3 linked regions of the Xenopus tropicalis genome follow. The protein of the gene in region 1 purifies or fractionates together with the protein of each later gene. This does not show direct contact. Links are inferred from orthologs where the notes say so. Each region holds a gene or a part of one and is shown on either strand. Other genes may lie near its edges.

Region 1 (7,223 bases):
TTGAGCAAATAAAACACAATTTTTTCACGGCTTGCATCTTCAGTGTGCTACTTGATTTTTTTGCTGTTGGATATTGACCCCCATGCAAGGTGAGGTTCTTCCAGTATTTGCACCTGATACCCGCTTGGGTAAGTTAACAGAGGGTTGAGCTCTCCAATACTGCTATTGCAGTACAAAAAAATAGTGGCTGATTAGCAAAGTCTTAGAATGACAATGAGAAAGAAATACAGTATCATACTAGAACAGTAGTTGGCAGCCCCTTTTCCTGGGCATATTAGCTGCTGTGTAATCCCCTAGAGGCAATTCCGCTGACAACATTCATGTAACTGAATTAGACACGGCCTGTATCCTATTCTGCACAGCAAGAGGGCTGCAGTTCAAAATAAGCACCAATGTGACTGCACAGAAGCATTCATATCCAGAAGGACAGACTCTCCACATTCACTTACCTGTCAGCCATCTGGGGGATAATGTAATGACCATTTTTATGATCTGGAAAGACAATAAAAATATAGGGTAAATGCCTTTTTAAAGAAGCAAAAACCACAGAGACAGAAAGAGCAAGAGGGAGAGAGAGAGATCTTTCTTTTAAAGCAGAAGCATGAAACATTCCAATACATATTTGGTTACACACTTAACTTGGTGGTTGTCACTCTTAATGGAATGAAGCAAAGCCAGATGATTTACAGATCCACAAAGAATCATGCAAAGTATTATTAAAGTCTTACTAATACTTATTTATAAAAACACCAACATAATTTGCAGAGTTGGGTGTATACATTAGACAGACAAAAAACATACAAAAACAACCAATACAAGAATTCAAGAGGTAAAGATGGTCCTGCCCAAAAGAGCTTACAATTTCAAATTTTTTAGTGCCAAAATACATTATCTTATAAAATCTGACCATGGAAAAGGCTTACTTGGGAAACAGTATATACATACTCACATGGGGAAAATGTATTGTGAATAATAATAAACTGCAGAAAAATTAATCTTTTATAAGTGACAACATTGGGTGATTTGAAAAACTGTATTTTAAATGTCAGTAAATCAGCCTCCATGTCCACTGATCGACAGCAACTGGGACATGTAATTAAACACCTGTGAAGGCAGAGAATGGCCAGTGCATTTAGAAAAGTCATGGCCAGACTCTCCCTAGACTTGCAGAGCCACACTTCTTATACAGGTTGGCATTTTGGCTGGGATAAGAGCAGATGTAAAATGAGGACTGTATCCAGGCATAGTAGAACACATTGTGCAGCCATTGCTATTCCCCAGTACTAAGCACTTGCTTGGGAAGAGTGCTGAGCTCATCCGTGGCACCACCTGCTCATCGCTGCGGTTCTGCTAGCTCGGCACTAGGCTTCTATTGGCATCCAAATACTGCAAGAAGGTTTTTACATTTAATGAGCTGTTTGCTTAGTTTTTCTATATTGTTCTTTTATCACTAAAAAAATAAAGCTCTTACTCTTTACAGGATTTGAAGCAAAAATCAGAAGTTTAGGTAGCAGTAACTAAATGACAGGAAGGGCACGATGTTCCTCCACCGTTTGGAAAATTAAGGCACAAAATATGTCCCCTGTGCTAAACACAAAAAACTTGCCACCCAAATATCAGCTTGGGGAGGGCACAATCATGAACTGACAGCATCAACCACCAAGGTTCATATAGCCAAGATGGCAGATACAGGGTGTCACACTGAGGGAAGATGGAGGCAATAGAAGTGCAAAGCACTGGTCTCCCTGTTTATGTAGAGGAACAAAAAGTTGTGACATGTGACTTACACAACACGGCACCCACCTGGTTTGCGTCCACAAAGGTAAAAGGCCAACCTATCCGTCAGTTCATACTGACACTCCACCAATCGGTCTGCCAGATCATGATGACCAGCCTGCCTGTTGGAAGCAATGTCATAAATATTAACCAATTAATAGGGGCAGACATATCTTCCAACAGCTGTGTTGGGCAAATGAACACAATCATTTTACATAAATTAGTCTAGGCTTCCCTTTTTCAAAGAATTCGCTTTCAACCCCATGGCATAATTGCTTAGTGTGTAGGTTATGTAGTGCTTACCCTGCACCCATACCGATAATCAACCATTAGCACAGAACTGAGCTGCAGTACAATTGCAGGTCTGGACCACACTTGTATATATATACCTGTATATACGAGTTGCTGGAAAGCTGCACACCATAAGAACAAGATAATACCTGGGTGCTCGTGCAGGAGACGTAAATACTCAGGGTAGGAATGACAGCACACACAGGACTTTTTTCATGAAGAATCACAAAGGTTTAGATGAATAAATGTGAGGCTTTATTCAAAGCCTCACATTTATTCATCTAAACCTTTGTGATTCTTCATGAAAAAAGTCCTGTGTGTGCTGTCATTCCTACCCTGAGTATATACCTGTATATTATATATATATATATATAATTAAAAGAAAACTGTCATATGTGGCACGGCCACCTAACAGTACTGCTTGTGTAGTATCTGAGGCCAATTTATTGGTGATCCACACACAGGCAGCAGCTAGCCCCTGTGCTCTGGAATATAATTTCTAGGAAACAAATCTGCACTGGTGGAGTCATTGACATTATATTTTTTTTTTTATTCAACCCTCAGTAAGGATAATGGTACACTACGAGATCTGCAGTGTTTCATCGCCCCAGGAAAGAACAAAATACAGGTATGGGATCAGTTATCCAAAAACCTGTAAGCTCTGACTTACGGAAAGGGCATTTCCCACAGACTCCATCATAAGGAAATCATTCTAATTTTTACAAATGATTTAATTTTTTTCTGTAATAATAAAATAGTACTTTGCATTTGGTTCTAAAGATGATATAATTAACCCTCATTTAAAGCAAAACAATCCTACTGGGTTAAGTTAATGTTTAAAAGTTTTTTTTTTAGCAGACTTAGGGCTCTGGCACACGGGGGAGATTAGTCGCCCGCGATAAAACTCCCTGTTCGCGGGCGACTAATCTCCCCGAGTTGCCTACCTCTGCCATCCCACCGGCGACTTACATGTCGGCGGGATGGCAGACGCAGCGGCGCGATTTTGCGCAAATCGCCGAAAAAGACTCGCGAGTCTTTTTCGGCGATTCCATGAAATTGCCCCGCTGCGTCTGCCATCCCGCCGGAGACTTACATGTTCGCCGGTGGGATGGCAGAGGTAGGCAACTCGGGGAGATTAGTCGCCCGCGAACAGGGAGTTTTATCGCGGGCGACTAATCTCCCCCGTGTGCCAGAGCCCTTAAGGTATGGAGATCCAAATTACAGAAAAACCCTTATCTGGAAAACCAAAGGTCCTGAGCATTGTGGGCAACAGGTCCCATACCTATACTATAATTTGGACCTTGTCCTGTCTAGCCATAGGCGTGTATCCCTCTAAAATGCAGAGTAGCACATTTTCCAGTGATTCCTGTCACTAGCCAGTGACAATTTTCCCTGTGTTATATTATATAATAGTTATATATTATTAACAATTGGCCAAGTAACAAACCAGTGGAAGGCTGCCTATGCCAAAGATTTGGGTCAAGGCAATAAAGTATTCATTGATAACAATCATTTTGGCTCAGAAAAACAGAATAACAGCTTACTGTACTATGTAGAAATATCTGAACTGATACTGCTCTCATCTGCCGCTGCAGGCAAACACTGACTTTAAATGGTAAATAACCTAGCAACTTGTTCTAACAAAGTGTTATAACACAATGAAATGCAATGTGATTCTGAAAGCTTTTTATTACATTTCCCCATTTGTATATTACCCACCATTAGTGGTGCTCTGACCTAGAGCTGGGCGGTATGACCAAAAATTTATATCACGGTATTTTTCAAAATTATATCGGTGTCACGGTATTTGACGGTAAATTTTTTTTCCATGCATGATTAGGTGTTAACCCCATTTACTAATAAATTAGAGAATAATTACTGCAGTATTGAAAATCAGAGTCAGGCAAGCGAAGGATCGGCAACAGAAAGTCGTAAGGTAAATCAGGCAGGCTTAGTTTCCCAGGCAAGGCCGCAGACAACATAGCACAGGAGGAGGCGTTTGATAGCTTTAAATACCCCCCACGCATGCGCAGAACCAGCGCCCTCAGCGCGTCGCGGACGTGCACACTTTGACATGTACGTGCCATTTGACGCACGCGCACCTGGGCGCGCGTGCGCAACGTCCCGCGGACAACGGGACACGCGCGTGCACGCAAGGAGGTGCGCGAGACCGGGCCGTACGGGTGAGTACCCTGTCACCCCGGTATTGCGGTATCTGAAAAATGAATATAGTTTTAAAAAAAAAACACCGGTATTCGGTATTAAACGGTATATCGCCCAGCCCTACTCTGACCCAATCACCTCACCTGCCATAATCAATGGGTGTCCTGCCATTCACATCCGGTGCCCCAGGATCTGCTCCATAGACCACTAACAGCTCTGCCTGAAGGATTTGTCCAGCCTTGGCTGCAACATGCAATGGGGTGGTTCCTTTGTCCTAAGGAGAGAGTCAGGGTTACAAACATCTCGGTGGCTGATACCTAATCCCACGGGTTATTTACAGAGCTGAATGAATAAGGGCAAAGGAAAGCAACCCTGGATCCCAGAAAGCAAAAATTCTGCATACAAACTATAATAATGTATGTTTTCAAACACAAGTGTAAAACAGCTGCAGGCCTGGTAATACAGGTCATGTTAACATCAAGGTGAGGTGACTAAGTAGCAATTCTAATTTACCAGAATTACCCATTTGCTCCCTTCTTTTTTTGTCATGAAAAAGATCCTTATTTATGATGCATGATGAGGTTATCCATTAACACAGATGCTCAGTGATATCATTTGTGTCACAGGAGACATTTGAAATTTGTTTCTACTAGCAAACATTTTATCTCAATAAAAACAATTCAGTATCTAGGCTATTCCACTTGCAAGTTTTTCTAATAACCTCAATGCAGTAGCAAGTCATTGTGGGTTAAAGAGGAAAACCTCTCAATAAACAGCAGACGTTCTGGTGCCCCTAAAGTCAAGTTGCACTTATAAGGTCTTCGAGGTTTTCAGCAAACTGTATTATTATTATTATTAGTTTTATAAACATCATTCTACAAATCCCCTATCTCTGCTGCTCTCCCTTCCAACAGATACTGGCGCGCAGCCAGTGACAACATGACTACTAGCTATTCTGATTTCCCAGAGATAAACAATCTGCATTATGGTGTGAATTCTGCCATTTCATACGCTTCTAAGCACCAATTATGCAGCACTTTAATATGGAGCACTGTGAATAGGATGGGGATAGGCAATATCTGCAGCATTGCACCGGTAACAAGATGGGTTACAGATAGTTCTACCTTTGAATGGTTGTTAGAACTATTTTCAATACTATTTCAATTTATTCATGGGGACCATAATACAAATGCAATTTATCTGAAGGAAGGTCCCCCTAAATGTCAGTGCATGTGGAGAAACACGCCACTGTGGTAAATGGACAACTCTGACGGATTCTGTGTTCCGTAAAATGGGACAATGTGGATGCTGTCAGTAGAATTAAAAAAAAAAAGCACTTATGGGCATGTTTACTAAGACTTGAGATCAATACCACCGGTGATATTGACCGTGGCAACCAGTCAGCTCTTTGCTTTTGATTTTAAACTTGTAGGTGAATGTTCAAATCTAATTGCTGATTGGTTGCTATGGGTAACATCACCAGTGATAGCTATCTCCAATCTTAGTAAACGTGCCCCCATGGCGAATCTCGGCCTGTAGATAAACGCAAGCAAAGAATCAGCCCCTACACCGGCATAAGCCTTTCCCTACATGCAGCGGATTTCAATGCCAAAATGCATACTTCGGTGCTGAAATCCCCTCAGTATGTGCCTACACCCGGGGCAGTCACAGACCAAGAATCAGCCCCATCGGCGCATTAGCCATATAATCTGTATCTTGTTAACTAATAAATATTCTGTAATCAATGTAAAAAGGCCTGGCTTGAATAAATATGAAATAGAAGTATAATATTGATAAAACAACTATTACAGTTTGGTTTAATACACACTGTAGTTATAGTCTCCTCTTGCAAAATATGAACAACAGTCCTTTGTGGCTATAGGCCTGTGACATACCTGACAGCAGCACAGTGATCAAACAGCCCTGTGTGTTATAACCATCATAGAACAGACTGAGAGTCAAAATAGGCCCTGACATATAAAATACACAGAGACTCAAACAGCCCCCCACAGGCCCAAGAAATAGCTGTGATTCCCAACCAGTGGCTCACTAGCAACATGTTGCTCACCAACCACTTGGATGCTGCTCCCAGTGGCCTCAAAGTAGGTGCCCATTTTTACATTTGTGGCTTGGAGGCAAGTTTTAGAAGCTTGATAAAAGGTCTTATGTAACCTGAAACGTTGCTGCTGTTGTTGTTTGCCCCAGAAAACTTTGCAATAAAGGCATTTTAATCTACAAAGACAAGAGGTGCTGTTCCTGTTCTTCTGTGGCAAGTTTTAGAAGAACAGAGGCATAATTTTATCCTAAGCAGAGTCTCCTGTAGACTAGCAATCCACATAGGGCTACCAAATCGCCAATCAAATTATTTGGCATGCCCAAAAAACTTTTTTTCAATGCTTGTGTTGCTTACCAAGTAAAACCATTGGGGATCCCTAGTCTATGGCATCTTACAGCAGCACCTGTGGCATTTGCCAGAATACACAGATTTGCAGCACTGAAATTTTGATCCCATACGGAGCAATGGGGACCTCTCCAAGGGGAGCAGCCTCGGGGCGCCCAGATGAGATAACCGGCGCTGTTTAAGGCTAATGTCTCAAGGAGCAAGTTAGTCACCCACGATAGATCTCTGCTACCAGGTGACTAACCACTCTGAAATGCCTTTCCCCCAGCAACAACAGGCATCACATATGTATCACTTCGGCTTTCCCGAAGATCTATTGCTGGTGACTAACTCACTCCGTGGGACATTACCTTAAGTGGAAGTGCTGATAGGTTATCCAAAACAGAGGCAACTGTTAAAAAAACAGATCTAAGAGAAATCTAAGTATTTTTTTAGAATTATAAATTAAAGAGGGTGGATAGGGGGCATTTATCTGATCAAATAAGCTGAATGGTGTAAAAAAATGAACGTTATTTACTAGAAGCTGTTCTAAAAGATCAGCTCCCTTGCAGCTAATATTAGAAGTCTCGCCATATTTGATTACAGAGCTTCA
Region 2 (7,718 bases), on another chromosome or scaffold:
CATATATATTGAAATCTAGATATGCATAATCATACAGAACCCTCTAATACAAATATGTAGGATATTATTTTTTTTACAATGATTGTTACTTGTATGGGCAGCAACCCCTCGGATATCCATCGGTCATAAAGCTACAACAGGTATATTTGTCTCCAGCTAAAGGTTTCATACCTCCCTTTGGGTCTCACAAACTTTTTTTTTTTTTATGCTGTGTTCCTGTGTGCTACAAGGGTACAGTTTAGTTAAGTCATGTTAAACATTCCTACTTTTACCTACTGCAAGTACAGTGTATGGTAAAAGACAAGGTATTTTGGTCATCCAAAAGCCTGTATGTCCATGCCTGTACGTTATTAAAGGGATGCTGTCCCTTTCAACAAATGAATTTGTCTGCGAGCATTTAACATGGGACAGCTTCTACAGTAACGTGCTGCACTACTTACAGCCACATATCAGGATTGCAAAAAGCAAATTCTTATCAGGGCTGCCTTAGACTTGTGCATACTTGCATTATATACGCGATAGACATTCCAATCGCTCACATATAAAAATCACAGGGGAGCAGAGCAAACGTAAAGAAGCCAAACGGACACTTGTATCCGATTTTTTTTTTTTTTTTTTTTAACACTCACATCACTGATAGTGCACATTTAAATGCAAGTATGAACAAGACCATACTGTGATTAGCCAAGCATTACATAGTGCTTCACACGCTTGCTTTCTAACACTCTGCCACCTTCAATTCAATACATGGAATGGTGACCCTACAGCAGCGCTATGGTGCCAAGTGGAACATACAAAGTGCTGAGTGATGCTGCCCATGCAATAAGCTTGGCAGGATTTGAAGATGGAGTCATTCTTATAATCCTGAATAATTCTTTGTGGCGCGGTGGTAATCAATGAGTGAATGCTGCCCTTCAGTGTACCTTTTTAAAGAGTCAGTGTAAAACAGCAATCATTAAAGGTGTTAGGTGAATGTGACACAATTAAACATTGCAACACACACTGGGTCTCATAGGGGGACTTTCCCAGTAAAATGAAAGCAATGGACTTTAACATTAGTCACACCAGTGAGTGACGGTAAAAATCTTTTCTATTTAATACAGCTGCAGCCTGTTAGCATGTAAGACATAGCACAGAAAATGATAAGAGCTGTACTACTGATGGAGGGGTTGGGGCACCCTGAAACATTTAGTCTCTGTACGAACAAAAAAACAATTGTTTTTCTATTTTGTGTGCCTTTTTCTTGTGCGTCTTTTAGACAAAATGATACACAAGTTAAGCTTGGCCACCAAGTTGCCTAATAATATGCTGAACAAGTCGCCATGTCCACAGGAAAAAATAATTGTCTGATTGATAGTCTTAATGAGGAAAGAGAATATACACAATGCAGCCATAAGCAAATCGGTACTGGGTGTTAAGCTGCTGTTTACTGAAAATGAAGAAGATTTGTGATTGGGAGAGCAATAACTGAACTGGGGAACAGTGAGGACAGAGGGCACCATAGCTACAACATGGTAACACCCAAAAAGTATAAGGGAATGATGCTAAAGAAACTCTAGGACAGTGATCCCCAACCAATGGCTCATAGCAACATGTTGCTCACCAACCCCTTGGATGTTGCTCCCAGTGGCCTCAAAGCTGGTGCTCATTTCTGAATTTCTGGCTTGGGGCAAGTTTTGGTTGCATAAAAACCAAGTATAATGCCAAACAGAGCCTTCTGTAGGCTGCCAGTCCACATAGGGGCTATTAAATAGACAATTATTGCTCTTATTTGCACCACCAGGAACCTTTTTTCATGGTTGTGCTGCTCCCCAACACTTTTTCCATTTGAATGTGGCTCACTAGTATAAAAGGTTGGGGATCCCTGCTCTAGCATATAGATGTAGTAATTTAGCCAAGTTTGCCTAAAGAGATGGACAACCTCTGTGTAAGAACAATCAGCACTCCATTGACTGGCACATAAATAATATTTTTGACAGCAATACAGTTACACTGCACAAACACCATACAAAATTTACCTTAAGATTATCAAATGATCTGAAAAATCAGGAAACATACAAAATACCCAACTAGCAGAGCTGAACTGATTGGCAAGTTACTAAAGTGCTAGGAAATGCCATCAGTGCTGCCCCACAAGTTGGGTTTCCTATTACTGGTCCTGATTTTCAATTGTTCTAATAACCTTATTTATCCTAGCTCTCGGGGGCACCATCCCATGCCTGCCTGCCACTAGTGGTACCCTATGAAACACATAATGCGGCATTATGGATGCAGCCAAATACAATTCATGTGACCGAGGCATTTGTGGCACATGTACCCTGCATTTAAACTGACGAGAAGACATTTAAAAATACCCTCATATACTAGAAAGGAATATTGTCTAAATGAATGTCTTGTTTACATGTCGGGGCAGGGACCTCCTTCCTACTGTGTACTTAAATTGTAAGCTCTACGGGGCAGGGACCTCCTTCCTACTGTGTCTCATGGCACTTATATATATATATATATATTAATTGTATTTATTTATTATATCACTTGTCCTCCCTTGTATTCTGTGAGATTGTACAGCGCTGCGTACCCTTGTGGCGCTTTATAAATAAAGTTATACATACATGTCCACTTGATGCTGGAACTATACAATAACATTTTGAATGGACAAATTTACAGTCTATTAAATCAAAGCCCAGGACAAAGAGAGAAACCATAGTAAGTAGAAAATATAACAGCTTAAATAGCAAAGGAAAGATTTAAAGTACATTACCCAGTGAAGTTTCAATATATCTAACCATGGAGTGAGGAACATGAGCCGATCTGGTCTATAATATTGACCATAATCATACGTATGCATCTAACAGTGTTTTTCCTACCATTTTTCAAGGGAAATAGGCTCTAGCAACGGTGATTACTGGGAGAACACACACTGCCTCTGGCATAGGAGGACTCTTCTTCCCTTGCAGCAGGAAGCATCAATCTAGAACATGTTCCATGCTGCAGCTATAGCCTTAGGGCACTGAAATCCAAGAATGTAAAGCAGCCCATATGAACTGAGAGGGTTTTGCTCTATATTCTGTATACATATACTGGGGGGCACAGCGCATCAGCACATGAGGAAGTGAAGGGGAGATGAAACGGCGCTTTACTTCCTGGTGCTCCAATCGTAACAATGGGAGGGTGGCCGTATAACTGTATAGTCCCTCCTGACGTATCTTTCCATTCGCTCCTGGGTTGATTGCTGGATATTGATGAGTATCAGTTAGTAACCGGACATCTAATATATATATATATATATATTTTTATTATTTTTTTTACACTACAGGATTTAAGACTCATCACTGCGGACGAAGGCACCTTGGCCCAAACGTTATCCATTTTATATAATATTAGCACTATAATTTGCTGACACATTTACAATATATTACAAACATGGACCCTTATGCCAATTGTGCCCCCAGCACCCAGGGAACAGCTGGAGGGCAGCAGTAAAAATGAAACCCCAAATAAATATCTAGTAATCAGAGACCTGCAGAAAGATTTATCTAAGAAACCCAATGAAGAACGAAATGAGTCCAACCAGCTGTTATGAACTACAGTATCCGACATCCTCTGCGGGTCTTGTAGTCCCCAGCAGCTGGGCCGCTATGAGGCTGACATGCCACAGTTCCAGCCGAGGAAGGTGAAAATTCCACCGCAGAAGAACGCGTAGATCCCCAGAGCCCCAGGCCAGACGCGACACACTGCGATTCAGCGTCTAACCCCATTCATTCGAATTAAAAATAAGCGATAGAAGCCCGTCACTTACCCGTCTCCCACGACCACACATTTAATGGCCTGCATGGCTGCGCTGGCAGCGGATCTCCCTGCAGCCCGGGCGCAAAAGCGGATACAGATGAAGGCTGTACGTATGGCCCAAGCAAGCTAGGCCGCGAAAGGGCTTCAGTAGCTCAGAACACACCCTCTCTCTCTCACTCACGACTCCTTCTCCTTTGCTCTCCCTTCAGCGTCTATGAAGGAAAAACCTAGAGCAGCCAGCGCCCGACAAAATCAACTCTTCGGCGAGATAACAGGAAGCTTCCCCGCCTGCGTCACTTCCGGCCTCGCCTCGAAAGCCCGCGGGAGCGAGTGGGGCGCGCCCAGGAGTCGGGAGCGCGCATTGAGTGACGTCACTCCCTTAGCTCTTCTGTCGGGCAACTGGCTGGCGGCGGAGAGTTATGGGAGGTGGAAGGGTAGTTCCAGGGTTCTTTTAAGTATTAACATGAATATTAAAGATGTGTCAGTTTTACCTTTATTTTCTCTGTAACATATGTGGCAGACCAGCAAAAGCGCTCTCTTTCCCCTGCCTCAGGGGGAAGAAACAAAAATACCGGGGCCGCTGCTGGCCAAATGGGTGCCCTAAGCAGAAATTTACTTTTGTGCCCCCTCTCCCAAATATTACGGAAGTAAAAATAAAATAAAAAAAAACACCTACTATGGGGGCCCCACACACAGTGCCCCCAATTGCCCCCATAGACAATGCCCCCATAGTAAGTAAGTTATAATATAGAAAAATGTTTTTTTTTTTGGAGTAGCTGGGATGGTGCCCCCCTGGGAGTTGGTGCCCTATGCAGACTGAGTACTCTGCTTATAGGGAGCGGCGGCCCTGAAAAATACAAAAATAGACAATGCTTGATAATTGCCTCTGTGTTTTTGCAAATGCAGCTGTTAGTATTGTCTATGGCAGGGTATATTCTGGCGCTTAGTAGCCCTGACAATAGCTACTACTAAGTAGCTTCCTATGTTTTTATCCTAAGGGCCATGACACACGGAGATTAGTCGCCCTGCAACAAATCTGTGTTGTTGCGGGCGACTAATTTCCCCGCAATGCTATCCCACTGGCTAGAATGTAAATGTAAATCCGGTTGGATGGCATACGCGGCACCGTGATTTGCCGAAGTTGCCTTAAGAGAAAGCTTTGGCGACTTCGGCAAATCACGCCACCGGTGATGTACATTCTAGCCAGTGGAATGGCATTGCGGGGAGATTAGTTGCCCGTGACAATGGAGATTTATCATGGCCCTAAAGCTACATGTATTTTAGGTGGGTTTTAGGCCCTTCCAATAATGGGGGGGTCATAATTAGGTTAGACATGGGAAGGGGGGCACTCGCTGTGAGTGGTGGGGTCCCAAAAAGAGTGACTGACCCCCAAGAAACGTGACTTGCCTCCTTAGCCAGTTCTCTTATGCTATAGTTTCTAAAAACATTTATTTTAATGGAATAATTGTAAAACTTACAAACCCTCCTGAATTTATCTGTGTAAAGGTCCCCATACACGGGTCGATTGTAGCTCCCGATATCGGTCCCTTGGACACGCTCCCTTATATCGCCCACCCATAGGTGGGCATATCGGGTGAAGATCTGCTCGCTTGGCGACCTTATGAGTCAGAGATGGGGGCACAATGGGGCGTGTCCATAACACTAGAATATATATATATATATGGCAGAAGAGTGTTGACCTCTCTGAAAAAAGGTCTCAAAAACTCTTGGCTTATGACCCGCGGTTTGTTGGCCTCTCCAAATAAGGTCTCAACTAACCCTTGTTCTTCACCTGATGAACAAGGGTTAGTCGACATCCCTGAAAGCCTAGGGACCAATTGGCACTTGCACCTTCCTAGCCAGCAGTTCATTGTTGTTTTTATTAATTGGGTGACTAAGGGCTCTGGCACACGGGGAGATTAGTCGCCCGCGACAAATCTCCCTGTTCGCGGGCGACTAGTCTCCCCGAGTTGCCATCCCATCGGCGAAAATGTAAGTTGCCGGTGGGATGGCACACGCGGCGGCGCGATTTAGTCAAATCGCCGAAAAATGCCTCGCGCGGCAACTTCGGTGATTTGCCAAAATCGCCTGTGCAGCGTGTGCCATCCCACCGGCGACTTACATTGTCGCCGGTGGGATGGCAATTCGGGGAGATTAGTCGTCCGCAAACAGGGAGATTTGTCGCGGGCGACTAATCTCCCCGTGTTCCAGAGTCCTAAGCAGGCTTGAGCTCGAGCAGAGAGGATCCCTGATAATTCTGTTAGTCTGGGGCCTTGATGTGAGTGTGTAATTACATAAAGTTTGCGTATTGGCGGTATTCTGTGGTTTGTAGTCCAGCAACACTTGGGAAGCTGTAGGCTGGAATCTCTGTCACCGTTTTACAGTGTCTATGTATAATTCAGCGTGTGAGTACCATGCTGTTTTTTCTACAGTTTGTAAAATAGGCCCTGGCATTCCAGGTGCTAAAGGCTTAAACAGCAACTGTCTAATGCATCTTACAGCAGCCCCTCTGGCATTTTCCAGAATCTACTGATTGCCAGTCCAGGCGCAAGCACCCCACAGTTAACACAGAGTGACTATGTTAGAAAGTCATCTCCAAGAACAGTTTGTTGCTGGTCCTTTGACTCATACAGGGAAGGGCTTCTTTACCTCTGGGTACGAACAACAGCTTTACAGCAATGGATTAAGCCATTTAGTTAGCCAACCATGAGGGAGTGGAGAGGATAACAGACAGTGAGGACTGATTGGATCACCCAGCTACTGTGCATGTGATTAAGGACCAGGGACTTTCTCTGGTAATTACGGTTTTGTGTTGTGTTTACCAAATCCACACTTGGAATTTTTTAATGTGCAAGGTTACTGTCGTAGAAACAAGAAATGTCACCTTATGCTTGAAAACAATGACTACTATTGTGTTATGTACCAATGTACTGTACTTTTGGAAAAGTTGTTGTCACTGCATGTGCAAGTGTGCTTCTTGGTGCTCCGGGCTGGTCTTACAGCTTCTCTCACAAACAGCAGTCTTTTATTATCCTACCTAGAGAGTCTGAAAATAGAGTTCCTATCTGGCAAATTCTGATTCTGCAAAACATTTGACAAGATCAGCTTATCTCAAAGGCACCTTTACTGCTGTTTTGCCTGCAAGTGACTTAATCTATCTGTAATAGGAAATAGGAAAACATGGCTGAGGCAGAACAAATAAAAATGGTTTTGAAAAGAAAACTAGATTGTCCAGCCATTTGTTTTAACCTTTTAAAGGTCCCCATACACGGGCCAACTATAGCTGCCGATATCGGTCCCTTGGACCGATTCGGCAGCTAATCGGCCCGTGTATGGGGAGAGCAGAGCGGCCTGGCCGACCGATATCTGGCCTGAAATTGGCCAGATCTCGATCGGCCAGGTTAGAAAATCCGGTCGGATCGGGGACCGCATCGGCTCGTTGATGCGGTCCCCGATCCGACTGCCCCATTGCCGCCCACATAATCCGATCGTTTGGCCCCAGGGCCAAACGATCGGATTATTTTTTTTTTTACCTAAATGCTTCCCGATATCGCCCACCCGTAGGTGGGGGTATCGGGGGAAGATCCGCTCGCTTGGCGACATCGCCAAGCGAGCGGATCTGCTCGTGTATGGCCACCTTAAGTCCCTGCCCTCAGTGGCTTTACCCACACCCCCACCGGCAAAAAATGTATACATCTAAATGAATTGGCAGCCCACATGCTAAACATGCTAAATTGGCATTTAAGGAGAAGGAAAGGTAAAATCACTGGGTGGTACAAAACTTTAGGCACTGTCCATTGATTGCTCCAATTTGCTTTAATGTATGCGATTGGTCTGCCATGTTTTTTTAATTTGCAGAACTATCATCTATAGACTCCTATATACAGTAAGATCACCTTACACTGATTAACAATATAAGATGGGGGTTC
Region 3 (7,874 bases), on another chromosome or scaffold:
GGGAGTTGCAGTTTAATGATGACCGGAGGGCCGCGGCTTGGCCAACCCTGCCCTGGTTTCTTTTCATACACTGAAGCTTCCCATGCTTTCCGGGTCAGGTTCCTGCTGAGTCCGTGGCTGAGGCACGGTATCAGTTTCGTGCAGTCGCGCCGCCATGCCCAGCTGCTGTGTGGCCGTCCCCTCCCCCGGTACTAGCCGCTGTGCATGCCGGGCCCTGCTCATGCCGTCGGTGCTCGGGGCTCTGCCCGCCCGGGAGATGCAGCTGCTGCTGGAGAAGTGACCTCAGGTAAATAGGCTTCCTCCTGATGGCGGCCCTGCCATATCCGACGTATAAGACGACCTCCGACTTTGGTGCGGATTTTTCGGGTTTAAAAAGTCGTCTTATACGCCGGAAAATACGGTAATTTAGAAATAAAATATACACCATAAAAATCATGACAAAATCCCTTTAAAGGAACAGTAACACCAAAAAATTTAAGTGTTCTAAAGTACCGTATATACTCGAGTATAAGCCGATCCGAATATAAGCCGAGGTATCTAATTTTACCTAAGAAAACTGGAAAACTGTATGGACTCGAGTATAAGCCTAGGGTGGGCTTACATAATATTACAATTACATGATGCTGAGAAGTGCATGATGCCCATGACTAGACAGGCCCAAAAATCTCTTTGGAGTGAAGCATCTTGCACTTGAGCCTCCTGGTGCACAGCCCTGATAGTGGATCTACCTACCAAATCTTGCACCCAAGGGGTTCAGCTTATGTACTAAGAGAGTGCATCAGGGTAGACTTACAGTTTGTGCAGGTTCACAGGGGCCTTGTGCAGCCATGAAAAAGCCAGGTTTGCCTGGTGTGCCAAAGGACTGGGGTGCAATACATTGCAGGCTGAGTCGCTCTTTGGCTGGGAGCAGCCACTTTCAAGTTAAGGCACAGTTTGGACAGCTCTTTCTCAGTCCGGGTCCTGAGTTCTATGCAACCAGTATTAGAAGGTGGTTGGTTGCTTAGCAACCAACCACCACCACAGACAACGCAATGGGCTGCTTGTGCTGCAGCTTAGCCCAGGAGTAGCGGCGGGTGTTTACTGTAGGCTGGGAGCGGGGATGGTTGAAGCTGCTGGGGACCGAGGCACACGCTCCTCTTGGTCACTGTGTCCGGATTGTAGAGATTGTCCAGATGAGGGATCGTAGCGGTACAGCGCGCACAGCGAGGGGTGGGGCGTCTGAGCGGTACTTGCGTGCACTTGCGTGCATCCAGAAGGGGGGGTCGGCGGCGGGGGTACGAACGAGCGGCAGCTGGAATCCTCAGACAGAGCGGATTCTCGCACGGAATCTGCCATAGGAGCGCACGTCAAAGAGAGGTTTTAGTGGTACAGCGCGCACAGCAATGAGGTGGTTTGAGCGAGGAGGGGTTGGTGGCGGGGGTGCGCGTGGACATCCACGGGATATACATGTTATCCATATACGCGAGTATAAGCCGAGGGTGACTTTTTGAGCACATTTTTGGTGCTCAAAAACTCGGCTTATACTCGAGTATATACGGTAATTGAAATATAATGTACTGTTGCCCTGCAATGGTAAAACTGGGGTGTTTGCTTCAGGAAGACTACTATAGTTTATATAAATACGCTGCTGTGTAGCCATGGGGGCAGCCATTCAAGCAGGGAAAAAGGAGAAAAGGCACCTTTGTATTCTACAGGGTTAATCTGTTAGCTGCTATATAACCTGTGACTTTTCTTCTTTTGAATGGCTGCCCCCATGTCTACACAGCAGGGTTTATATAAACTCTAGAAATGTTTCTGAAGCAAACACACAACTTTTACCAGTGCAGGGCAGCAGTATATTATAGTTTAATTTCTTTAAAATATATACATTTTTTGGTGTTACTCTTCCTTTAACACATTATGTATGTCACCTGGAACAGCTCTGCAAATCAATGGTTATTTGGATATAGGTTCCCCCTGGCTAGCCTAGCCCCAGCAGGTCACTTCAACAGTCTCCAAGCAGCAGAATTATAAAAAAAAATGTTGTTTTATATATTTTATTGGGTTTTTCAAAATAATGCAGGTTAGGGGACACTAACCGTGAAATTGCTGATTGGTTGCCCTGGGCAACATCGCTGTAATGCTTCACTCCACTTTTTACACAGCATGATAAATATACCCCTATATTTATCATGCTCAGGGCCACCAATCAGGCTGGATGCCTGGCCTAATGTATTTTATTTAAATATCCACATTTCTATATTCTACTAGATATATTTTATTTTCAGTTTATTCATTCAATAAAATGCTCTGTACTGTATATACACAACATGTATGAGGCTAACTATATCCAGTATCAAAGAACATGCATTTTAATTTCAGCCTCTTATCCTGTGCTGATCTGTTCTGCACTGGCTCAGAAAACAGAGCACTTATCCTACATAATTTATGAGACCGGTTTTCTGGAACATCAGGACATCCAGAATAACTTTGAAACCCTAGAGCAAGCACAATGAGAATAAGAGATGCAAGCAAAAAATACTACTTTAGGATCCCCAGAACGCAAAGCATAAGAGCACATTCTATTACATGCAGCTTCCTGCTTGTTACTGAAGGCAGTTGGTAAAGCTGTTGAAAAGTAAGCTCAGCCCGCACATATAGGAAGAGCAGAGCAGATGCAATCACGGATGTGGCTGCAGAACAGCTTTGTTACATTGCACCCTGCACTGTACGAAGCCAATTTACACAGCCATGAACCCTGAGGAACAGACCGTCACTTGGCTGATCTCACTGGGGGTGTTAAGTTCTCCCAAGAAAAACATATGCAATCCTGCTGACTTCTTGAAATGTTCACTGAAGGATGGGGTGGTGCTCTGCAAACTGATGAACCGCCTCCTCCCAGGCTTTGTATCTAAGGTAAGCCATTTCCCACTTTCTCCGTTTCGCCTAAATAGGCGCACAATATGAGTATACGAAAAATCCTGATTTTTAGGTATGATTTGTGCACAATCTTTTTTCAAACACAATTCTGGGAATAAAGGAACATAACTGCCTGGGCCTAAGTAAATAGAAATTCATACAGAGTCTATAGCAGGGGTCCCCAACCTTTTTTACCTGTGAGTCACATTCAAATGTAAAAAGAGTAGGGGAGCAACACAAACAAGTTCCTTGGGGTGCCACATATATGCTGTGATTGACTATTTGGTAGTCCCTATGTGGACTGGCAGCCTACGGAAGGCTCTGTTTGGCAGTACACCTGTTTTATGCAACCAAAACATGCCCAAAATCCAGGAATTCAAAACACCCAAGCGGTTGGGGAGCTCATGTTGCTCATGAGCCACTCACTGAGGATTACTGGGCTATAGTCTATAGGTGTCCTCTGAATACTTCATTTTCCTCCCACACTCCAATAACATACAGCCAGGAAAACTGGCTCCCAATACAACTGACCCTCCTGTGTGTGATTGTGATAGGGCCCTTAGACTGTAAGCTCCACTGGGACAGACACTGATGTGGATGATGCATAATCTCTGCAAAATGTGTCAGCGCTATATAAATTCCAGGAAACAGTTGAAAGTAAAGGCCACTTTTAAGGTAAAATCAGTGTGTTAGGTTAGCTCCTTAAGTATATAATACCCCAGTGCTTAAATGTTTTATATCCTCCCATGGTTATGTTGCAGCAGGACACTTGAAATATTTGTATGTTTTGTAGTCTTTTTTGCATAGCAATACACTAACCTGGAGTTAACATTCTGGCGTTTGGCACTGCTCTGAAAGATGGCAGAGGCTTGTGGATATTGTAGTTTATGAAAGAGGAAGCACTGATACACTGATGCATGTTGTTTAATAACTGGTCCACTTTAGTTCCTCTTATGCTTTTGTAGCGAGAACTCTGTTGGCCATGTAAGGATGAACTCTGTTTTGTCACTTCCCCTTAATGCGTGCTCAGCTCAGTCTGACTACTGCTTGATGCACGTCACATCTAAACATCTAGTAAGTTAGCTATATTATTTTTCCTCTTATATTCATTTGAACAATATGTTTCCCTTTTTAACGCAAACAGCTTCTAATGTACCCACTAACTTTGCTCTAAGTACCCCAGGGTATTTTTAAAAACAATTATATAAGGTTGTCTGAATGTTTCCTGTGCCTGGTAGAGAATGCTAGGAGCAGTTCTAAAGCAGAAGACAGCAGAGCAGCAGAAGAGCTATACGTTTGCTGAATACAATAATTATTTTGCACATTTATGGAAAAGGTATGTTAGTTATACAGTCTTATAAATACTGTATGTAGTGATTCACTGCACATCTTATTGTATTGTTACAAGGCATTACTGCTTGATTCCACTCTTCCATTCAGCTTTAACTTCATTGAATTTAAAATTGTGTAACAACCTCATTTGCTCTTTGGAAAATATGATATATGCAACTGGAAGCACAATACACAGCTGAAAACACTCTGTCAGAAAGGATGATGGGCAGAAAATTCATTTAAAGCAAGATTCCAAGCATGAAAATCATGCAGTACAAAACATGCATTGTAACTCTTGATTGCTGAGGATAAGTGGGGTTTATCATTCTCACGATCATCTGAGATGTACTACATCAATCATGTTTGCATTCGGACAAAATCCAATTTTCAACTATAATTTGTATATTTAAATCTGAATAAAAGTAGCATCACCTAAACATAAATACTTTTAGTGCTTTAAAACATCAAATTCATCTCAGCCAAACTATAAGGCAGTGGTGTCTGGACTCTTACGGAATATGCAAAGCTCCCCTTTGAAGGACAGAATTTGGTTAGGATGCCTCTAAGTTCCAAGAACCAAGTAAACCATTCAGTCTTTGTTCTCCAGTGTAAAATTTAAGAAAGCAAATAAGCATTCTGGACAAATCTTACAATATCTGGCTTACCCTAAAGCTGTGCCCCCAGCCACTACCAATCCACACTCACTAGCACACCCTGGCCTTTCCACTCTGTTCCGCCTGGTGCACAGTATTTAGAGTGAGACTTCAGCACTCTCCACCACGTTCCAAATAGCACAAAAATACCGGCACAACAGGACTTGTTTAAGCGGAATAAACCCCCAGCCACTGCTCCAGGACCCTAAGAGGGCCACCCAGTGGCGTAGCGAGGGGGGTGCCGAGGGGGCCATGGCCCCGGGCGGCGTATCAGAAGGGGCGGCGGCGGCTCCTTCTCTCTTACGCTTTTATAAGGTTGCGCCCGTGCGTATGACGTCACACGTCAGCGACGAGGCGCAACCTTATAGAAGCGCCTGTTGCCTGTAAGAGAGAAGGAGCCGCCGCCAATGGTCTGTTGGGGGTATGTACTATGGGGGAAATTGGGGGCACTGTGTGGGGGCTACTGTCTATGGGGAAATTGGGGCACTTTCCATGGGGGGGGCCAGGTCTTTGTGGGGTATTGTGTATGGGGGCACTTCCTATTGGGGGCACTGTGTATGGGGCAATTGGGGCTTTGTGTATGAGGGCACTTTCTATTGGGGGGCAAGGTCTTTGGGGGGTATTGTCTATGGGGACACTGTGTATGGGGCAATTGGGGCACTGTGTATGGGGGCACTTCCTATTGGGGGCACTTTGTATGGGGCAATTGGGGGCACTGTTTATGGGGGCACTGTGTATGGGGGAACTTTCTATTGGGGGAACTGTGAATGGGGCAATTGGGGCACTGTGTATGGGGGCACTTCCTATTGGGGGCACTGTCTAAGGGCAATTGGGGGCACTGTGTGGAGGGGGCTGTCTATGGGGACACTGTGTATGGGGCAATTGGAGGCACTGTCTATGGGGAAATTGGGGCACTTTCTATGGGCAATTGGAGGCAATGTGTGTGGGGGGCACTGTGTATGGGGCAATTGGGGGCACTGTGTATGGGGGTACTGTCTATGGGGCAGTTGTATGGGGGGACCGTGGCCAGAATAGCGTTAGGGGGGCCTGGCCAGCATAGTGTTAGGGGGCCACTGTGGTAGGGTGACCCTAATACTTTTTATGTCTGTGTGTCCTGTACTGATGGGAGGGGCCCTGTGATTTCTGATGGCGGCCCTGCCACCATGGGCAGCCACGGACGCACAGCTGAATCCACTTTTGACAATTATGACATGCGCACCGCATTTCAAATTCAATCAAAAAAAAAAAAAAATTTAATGCTGCTTTTTTTATTTTGTCTATTTTTTTTAAGAATAACTAAATAGAGGGGCGGCAAATTTCCGGTCGGCCCCAGGCGACGAAAGCCCACGCTACGCCACTGGGGCCACCCCCACCCCAACTGAATGCTGAACAATTGAACTTAGGCAAAGACCATTGGGAAATCTCACGTTTCAGCATTTTCATGTGATACCTATTCAACTCAATAGAAGACAATTTCAGCCAGGTGCATAGTCCCTTGTAGTTATCATGAACCTTAAATATTTTTTCATTTAAAAATGCTAAATATCTTCATAAATAAAATTTGTTTGTATTTTTGCATTTATATGTATATTAATGAATAACAGTCATTATCATCATAATCAGCAACTTTTTGTTGTCCTATTTTTCTTTTTTTAATGGCTTTCATCCTTAGTGTGTTTCTTCTAGACCTGAATTTTAAACTTAAAAGCAATTCATTTCTTTACACATTTGTTTGTTATTATGAATATAGGTTCTGTATAAAAAATGCATACTATTAATTTGAATACACATGCTCAGATTTTCTTTGGCAGATTGAACAGGCCTGCCCAACCATCAGACCACAGTTGGTCTGTCCAAAATAAAATGTTCATCTGCCTCAGCATGAGAACTGGCAAATGCAGAAGTAAGATAAGCTGCACGCAACAATAGGCCCTGGTATGCTTAGTCTTCCTGTGACAACCATATAATGATAACCCATATTGCTTCAGAGTTGGCTTTATACAAAAGCATAAGCATTTACTGAGACATCGTGAAAGAACTTTAGCTGCAAACTCACAAGCCTCTCTCCGCTGTTCTGCCTGTTCTACCCCCGGCTAGATGTGTTTCAGTGCAAGGCACGACGAGCCGCAGCTTGCTTGACACTACAGCCAATACTGACATATAGAAGCAAATCCAAGTACGTAGTAGCTTAGTTGTATGTATAACTTGTATGTATAACTTTATTTATAAAGCGCCACAAGGGTACGCAGCGCTGTACAGTCTTACATGGTAAAGGCAGTTTGTATTAAAGGTGGTTGTTGTAACCCTATTTTACTGTGATGCTCAAATATACGTACTATCTATAATACCAAGGCCAGACAAAAATGCAGTGTGTGATGTACTGCTGCTGCCAGTCAGACCAAAATATTTTTGATCTGACTGCGAAAACGAAATCATATTGCACAGATAATAACTGCATATAGGTTACTGACAAATTCTGTTTGAACTTTTGAAATAAACCTCGATTTTCCCTTAGTCTCACTACAAAGAGGATTCCTTTATTTACTGACACTTTCTATTCCCTCCAATGATTGTATGTAAACCAGTACTGTAGAGGACTGTGCTGAATTGTCTGCAGTGCCTTCCTGCACTCACTGCATATGCTACACACAAGCACACGCACTAGGGAGCTGCAGCAGTGTCAGAACAGCTTGTTTGGCTTATTTGTCACACATGTTCTGATTTAAAGGGTGGGTGCTCTGATTTTCCTTTCCGTTGCTGCTTTAGCGTTGTGAATTTTAGTTTTTTTTACTGCAAGCCACTAGGTTTGATCACATGGCCTGAAGCATTCTGTAGCTGTGTCTGTGCATGTTCTTCCAATCACCCTTCTGGCTTCCTGAACTTTGTAATGTAAACCTCACACTTATTGGCAGCTTTGCGGGAACTCGAGAGGTTATTTCTGTGCTACTCGCTGATTGGTTAGAGATATTTTCCAGCCCAGTTTACATTCTC

What was found.
Region 2: the proteins of git1 (region 1) and rac1 purify together in Homo sapiens (affinity purification with mass spectrometry; 3 studies listed by BioGRID). This does not show direct contact. The link is inferred for Xenopus tropicalis from reciprocal best matches to the Homo sapiens genes GIT1 and RAC1.
Region 3: the proteins of git1 (region 1) and arhgef6 purify together in Homo sapiens (affinity purification with mass spectrometry; 3 studies listed by BioGRID and IntAct, counting the BioPlex papers as one, with this or other methods). This does not show direct contact. The link is inferred for Xenopus tropicalis from reciprocal best matches to the Homo sapiens genes GIT1 and ARHGEF6.

Annotation. Positions count from the first base shown.
Region 1 is NC_030678.2:32,783,819-32,791,041, reverse strand, and holds part of git1 (ARF GTPase-activating protein GIT1), read right to left. Parts: intron 4,505-7,223; coding exon 4,374-4,504; intron 1,899-4,373; coding exon 1,804-1,898; intron 493-1,803; coding exon 450-492; intron 1-449. UniProt on the Homo sapiens protein: GTPase-activating protein for ADP ribosylation factor family members, including ARF1.
Region 2 is NC_030685.2:25,454,827-25,462,544, reverse strand, and holds the start of rac1 (ras-related C3 botulinum toxin substrate 1), read right to left. Parts: upstream 4,003-7,718; 5' UTR 3,835-4,002; coding exon 3,800-3,834; intron 1-3,799. UniProt on the Homo sapiens protein: Plasma membrane-associated small GTPase which cycles between active GTP-bound and inactive GDP-bound states.
Region 3 is NC_030684.2:69,205,199-69,213,072, reverse strand, and holds the start of arhgef6 (rho guanine nucleotide exchange factor 6), read left to right. Parts: upstream 1-2,700; 5' UTR 2,701-2,730; coding exon 2,731-2,895; intron 2,896-3,939; exon of another isoform or gene 3,940-3,948; coding exon of another isoform or gene 3,949-3,972; intron 3,973-7,648; exon of another isoform or gene 7,649-7,874. UniProt on the Homo sapiens protein: Acts as a RAC1 guanine nucleotide exchange factor (GEF).